Ovis aries: one gene and its partner. The protein of the gene in region 2 purifies or fractionates together with the protein of the main gene of each other region. This does not show direct contact. Links are inferred from orthologs where the notes say so. Each region holds a gene or a part of one and is shown on either strand. Other genes may lie near its edges.

Evidence for each region. The genes of interacting proteins can lie anywhere in the genome.
Region 1: the proteins of ZFYVE27 (region 2) and VAPA purify together in Homo sapiens (co-immunoprecipitation; 3 studies listed by BioGRID and IntAct, counting the BioPlex papers as one, with this or other methods). This does not show direct contact. The link is inferred for Ovis aries from reciprocal best matches to the Homo sapiens genes ZFYVE27 and VAPA.

Annotation. Positions count from the first base shown.
Region 1 is NC_056076.1:42,439,875-42,442,571, forward strand, and holds part of VAPA (vesicle-associated membrane protein-associated protein A), read left to right. Parts: intron 1-1,861; coding exon 1,862-2,035; intron 2,036-2,697. UniProt on the Homo sapiens protein: Endoplasmic reticulum (ER)-anchored protein that mediates the formation of contact sites between the ER and endosomes via interaction with FFAT motif-containing proteins such as STARD3 or WDR44.
Region 2 is NC_056075.1:18,731,629-18,735,279, reverse strand, and holds part of ZFYVE27 (protrudin), read right to left. Parts: intron 3,146-3,651; coding exon 3,074-3,145; intron 1,892-3,073; coding exon 1,871-1,891; intron 1,719-1,870; coding exon 1,574-1,718; intron 1-1,573. UniProt on the Homo sapiens protein: Key regulator of RAB11-dependent vesicular trafficking during neurite extension through polarized membrane transport. Promotes axonal elongation and contributes to the establishment of neuronal cell polarity.

The sequences.
Region 1 (2,697 bases), on a different chromosome or scaffold from region 2:
ATGTCGTTTAGAATGACACTTAAAAGATGTACATATAAATGAATAAAGAAAGATTTAAAAGTTACATGTATGCTGAGTTTATAAAACATGCATATGAAAGAATATTGGAAGATAATATGGGAATAATAGTTATGTTGAATTAATGAGAGAATGGGAGGTAATTTCCTCTCTCATATTCTCAATTTTCTAGAATTTCAAAAATTTGTTCAAAAATAAAAAGCCATTTGGGAAGAATTTGATGAGTCCTCGTGCTCATTTTGTCTTTGCTTGGTTGACCTTTTGTATCTCCTCTTAATTTCTTAGTCAGTTTTCTGGCACGAGGGTGATACTCTTTCCCCAGACCGGGAGTGTGCAGAGTTGTGGTATTGTGGACCGTTTGTCTTCACGAAGGAAAGAAGGCCGTGTGCCATCCTGGTTCCCAGACGCTGGGCTGCTTCTAGGTGGAAAGTGAGAAGTCACTTGGGAAGCCGTGCCGAAGTGAACTCTAGTGACTGTGAAGGAAAGGAAGAGAGAAGCTATTGGTGGAGGGTACCAGCATCTGAAACAGGATTTTTAGCAGACCTGAGGGGCTTGGCTGGGAAGGAAGAGAGGGGAGAAGGAGGCTCGCACGGAAGCAGAGAGGATCATGAAGCAAGCTTCTTGTACCCGGCCTGGCGGGGATGCTTTGGAGAGAGATGGGGATCTGAGTGTTGACTGGGACCTCAGTATGATCAGTGGTGTTCATTTTTACATGGATCTAGACATAGCAATCAGAGCACAACCCCTTCATAGGAAGTACATCTTGTCCCCATTTGTACTCAGTGTGAATTCCAGAACTGGGATGCTGTGGCAGGTGTTGACTGTAATTAAATCCTCTGATGAGTACTGTGGAACCTGCCATAAAGTTGATTTTGAAAATGTTTTTGGTAGAATTTTATATCTGAAGCAGTTTATACCTTGCTATCTGAAAAGTTAAATTTTTAGCAAGTAAAATTTTAATTGAAGACAAGACTTGCTGTGCTAGTCCTGTTGGGGTGCTTGAAGGTGGAGAGGAGGTTCAGGGCACCTGGGGGCCCGCCGGGTCACATGGGTCAATGCTGGCCGGACTTAAGACATGGGGCTTGTAATTTAAAGTGCCAGAGCACCACGTTGGCTCTGCACTGAATTTCATGACTGACAGCAGGGAGTGTTACTTCATAAACGGGGGGGTCACTCATGTTTGAGCGCAGTTGTCAGGTGGACTCTCCCTGCCTGCTTTTTCCCCATGACATGTGTTTGTGCTCATTATCTCCCCTTCAGGCTCCAGGTCCTCCAATGACTTTTCTGTGAACAGAACTTGGGTTTTCTCTCATGCATTTCTCTTAGGTGGTCTGATTTCATTTGAGTGGTTTCGACCGTGTCCCCCTGCCCTCCGGCACCTTGCTTGGGCTGCAGAATCAGCACTGACTGTGAACTTTATGGATCCGGGCAGGCATCCCTCAGTGTCCTTGTTGAGTGACCACTGGCTGGGGTGCTGGGTTTTAGGGGTGAACGCACAGACGAGTGACTCTTGCTCTCCCAGACTTTGAGGTGTTGTAGGGAAGAATCTTGGAGGACGATGTGAGCTGCATGCTCGCTGCTCTGGGGTGGGAGGTGGATGCAGAGCAGGGAACCATGTGTTCGGACCTTGGTGACCACTCATGCTCACTGTTGTCCTGTAGAGCTGGTCACTGGGGACCAGATGTTGGACATTTTAAAAACTTTAATAATGAAATTGAAACCTGTCAGAACTTTCTGTGTAAATAATTTCTTGGACAGGGATGTGGAGTTTTAAGTTTTGTTTAAAACTATTAAGGAGAGTTGTCAGTTGACGAACTCCCTGCCTGCTACCTTTGTGATGCAGAACGACATGGAACCCAGCAAAGCCATTCCGCTGAACGCTGCGAAGCAGGACGGGCCCGCGCCAAAGCCGCACAGTGTCTCCCTCAGTGACACCGAGACGAGGAAGCTCGTGGAGGAGTGCAAGCGGCTGCAGGGGGAGATGATGAAGCTGTCAGAAGAGAACCGACTCCTGAGGGTGAGTGCCCGCCTGGCCCCACTGTGCAGCGGCCTCGGCGCCCCTCTCGCCCTTGGCCTGGACGCTGGGGGCTGGCGTGCCCTGGCTGCTTCCTCACTCGCTGGTGCAGCCTCCGCGCCCGGGCCTGGCATTATCGGCTGCAGCAGCAGTGCAGTCCCTGCGAGGGGGCCCCCGTTGTCCAGGGCGGGCCACCAAGGTGTGCTTAGTCAGAATTAAGATGTGCTGTGAGTCACATAGTGCAAGAAAAATCCCTGTTTTGTATTGTTATGTTGAAATAATATTGAATTCTATTAGATTCAGTAAAAGATACATTATTAAAGCTAATTTTATCAAGTTTAGTACCTTTTTAATGGGCTTAGAAAATTTTAAATTTCGTGCATGGCTCCCATTGAAGGCCCCTGTGAGGTGGCTTGACCTGTGCTGAGATGGTTTTTCTGGCTGTTTCTTCCTCTCCCAAGCCCCTCTCCAAGGCCCCTGCCCTGAACACCTACCTGGAGGGTGGAGAGATGCCCTCTGTTTCACAACCACACACAGCTCCATCCAGTTGTAAGGGGGCTGCTGTTTGCCCTTTTCCTTTACCTGCCATGACCTCAGTTCTGTGTTTGGTGGACGGTGTGCTCCCTGGCTGCTGAGCCCAGGTGTTCAGAGAGCTGAGGCCTGAA
Region 2 (3,651 bases):
AGCAGAAAGAAACAGGGTGTCCCAGGATGTCTACCGCTCAGGAAACAACTGCCCTGGTCGCTGCGGGAGCAGGAAGGCAGGCCCTGGAGCGCCCAGGTTAAATACCTCACGATAAACCCCACGGGCTTCCTCAGGACTCTCTCCCACCAGATCTCATGGCACAGCCAGCCCACCCTCCTCCCTGTCTGCTGACAGCAGGCAGAAGCCAGGCTCTGCTCCAGGACCAGGGAGAGCCCTGAGCCTCCAGTTCTCCAGGCTCCAGTCCCTGTCTGCTGACAACAGGCAGAAGCCAGGCTCTGCTCCAGGACCAGGGAGAGCCCTGAGCCTCCGGTTCTCCAGGCTCCAGCTATAGCTTCATCCGGCTTGGCTCCCGCTCTCCTGATCAGAGCCAGGCTTCCAAGCTGGTTAATCAGCTCAGTTATGTCTGATTCTTTGCAACTTCATGGACCAGAGCCCTCCTGGCTCCTCTGTCCACAGGATTTCCCAGGCAAGAATCTTGGAGTGGGTTGCCACTTCCATCTCCAGGGGACTCTCAAACCTGGGTCTCCTGCATTGCAGACAGATTCTTCACCATCTGTGCCACCAGGGAAGTCCCTCCAAACTGTGAGGACAATCAAGTCCACGCTTCTCCAAGGTCACACTCTTGGTGTGTATAAGGTCAGTATAATGAGGACTGGCCAATCTACGGACTTGGCTGGGGAGAAGGGGAGCCGGGGCTCTATCATCCCCAGAAGACAGTGTTTCCTTCCATTTGCTTCCAATCGGACTGGGAAGATCCAGACAAGTGCCTAGGCACCTGAGGGGAAGACCAGGGCCTCCCGTGATAACAGCGCCCCTTATGAAGCCCTTACTATGAACCAGCCAGCAATGTGCCAGCACTTCATAAGCATTCTCTCTTTTGAGACCTACAGCAACCCTGTGAGACAGGAACTTGTACTATTCTTTTCAGTCATTGTTTATTCGCTCAGTCGCATCTGACTCTCTGCAACCCCATGGACTACAGCATACCAGACTTCCCCGTCCTTCACCATTTCCCAGAGTTTGCTAACATTCACGTCCACTAAGTTGGTGATGCCATCCAACCATCTCATTCCCTGCCACCCCCTTCTTTTGCCTTCAACCTTTTCCAGCATCAGGGTCTTTTCTAATAAGTCGGCTCTTTGCATCAGGTGGCCAAAGTATTGGAGCTTCAGCGTCAGTCCCCTTTTACAGCAGGAAAGCTGAGGCAGGGGGAAGTTAAATAATTTGCTTAAGGCCACCTGGCAGCACTGGGGTTCACCTAGACACTCAGACTCCTCACTCAACCAGCACGCTCCACAGCCCGCCGTGGCTCTGCCTGCCTCAAGACCACACTGCCCTGTGGTCCCAGAGGAGCGCTTCCAGAACTGAACTCATCTTCCCACAAGAAGTAATGAGGACAGAGACACAAGAAGGAGCCCACACTCCCTCCCTCGCAGCCCCGCTGTGCCTGTGCCACCTCCCTAGGGTGCCATGGACACAGCTCTGCTCCTCAGAACACAGCACCTCTGCCCCGTGGCCAGGATACCTCCAACCCGCCAGCCCCCAGCCATACCAAAGTTGTTGGTCGGGTACCGCTTGCGGAGCCGCTCAGTGAGCCGCGACACCTTGCTGCGCAGCACCTCGTTCTTGCTCAGGAAGCCGTTGTCCTGCAGGACCAGCTCGTCCTCTGCCGGGCACGGGGCCCCCTCGTCATCCTCCTGCGGGAACAGCTCCTTCCAGTCCTGTCCCCTCGTGACAGGGCTCTGGGACCTGCATGTGTGGCGAACCCCGCGAGGCATAGCGACCTTGGCTCAGCCACCCATCCTCAACCCCCTCGGCCCCTGCCTACCTCACCAAGGCTCCTACTTACCAGCACCACCAAGTGGGTCTCCTGCCTCCCAAGGTGCCGGGGGAGAAGAAAAGAAAACAGAGAGAAGATAGCAAGAAGGAAGCTGCCGGGAGGGGATCCCCAAGCGAGAGGAAGCACAGGAATGCTACTACACTGACTCTGGGCACGTACTGAAGGGCGATGTTAACAGAGACCCCGTCAAGGATCCCAACATCAGTCAGCTGGGGAGAAGCTGCGTACTCAAGAGTCATGACTTAGGAGTCCACAGTCGCACATTCAGGTTTTGGAGAAACCTCAGCAGTAGAAAATGGAAACGTCCACGCAGATGTGGCTACAGTAACAGCAGACAGCTGGGTGAAAACCGTAGGCCTGGAGCAAACTCCCGAGACCTCCATTTCCTGTATCCCCCACTTTACAAGAGTCATAAAAAGAAGTGAACTCCTACTGTTTAAGAAAAGCCATAGAGCAAACATGACACTAAATGGCAAACGCCGCCAGGACTCAGTGGCCGGGGATGACAGGAACTGGTGGGGTAGTGTGACTTCTCTGAAGCAGACAGTCTCTCCTCAGCTACACTGACCGCTGCAGACTCAGGGCTCCCAGAGCTGCTGAGTTTTTAGAAAAACTGAAAAATCCAGAGTTTTTACTATAGTCTCTCCAATTTTTAAATATCGGCTAAAAAATTAAAGCTTTGCATGCCAAATAAAACACTTCTGCAAACTACCAGTGTGAACCATTGTCCTAAAACCAGGCAGACTGTTGAACTTTCTCCAACCCAGCACTTGGCCATGCAACTGCTTTCTCCAGCCTCCCATTCTCACCCCTCAAAGGGACATCTGACGGACCTCATCGTTTAGAAGAGCAGGCAGAGTCCGGGACGATGCCCTCCTCCAACTCTGCCTTCCCCACATCAAAGGTGCCAGGCCCACAGTCTCCAGTCAAGGCAGTAAACGACCCACCTCCCTAGCAGGGCGTTTCCCAGAGGCCTCCAGAGCCACCCCCTCCCTGGGCACCCAGGACAGACGCCAAGGTCAGCAAGAGGACGGGCAGAGGTTCAGTGGCATCCTTTCAACCAGTGAGTCTGAGCGCAGGGTACATTTCACCCTCTCACTTGGATACAAGAGAACTCTAAAAACCCAGACTTGGAATGAGAGAGGCCACATGGCTCCAGGACCACCCAACTTCTGACCTGGTCAGCTGGGGGTGCTGGGGAAGGCCACCCACCTCAATCGCATCTTTAAACTCCTCGTCGGGCTCGGCCTCCTCCGCCTCCTCCACACTGCCTGGCGTGAGGTCCTGGGAAGAGAGATCCTTCAACGGTCAGAGCAATGACCGCCCTGCCCCCAGGGGAGAGGCCACCTCCCCAGAGCCAGCACCCAGGTTTCTCAAAACAGCAGTTCATGCCTCAGAGGAAACGGCACACCTGCGGCAAGAAGGAAGTCAGGGGAAAGAGAGCGGTCTCCAACTGAGCAGGACAGAGAGGGACCACGGCCACGAAAGGACCGACGCTGGCTGCAGAGCATGGTGCTTCAGAGCAGGAGCTCTGGAGCCACGGGGCGGGGTCTGACTCCCAACCCCGCCGACTGCGGACAGCCACTCTGTGCCTCGGCCTTCTCTGCTGCAAGGAGAGTAACCTCATTCTCAGAAACATCCTGCACCTCCTGGGTCTATAAAGTACTTGAACAGCAGAGTAAACACTCAATATAGCATAGCACAGCCCTTGTTACCACAGTTATTACTATTAAGCACTTCAGAGGAGGCGGGCCTGGGAAGGAGAAGGCCAGCCCAGGAGCTATATAGTA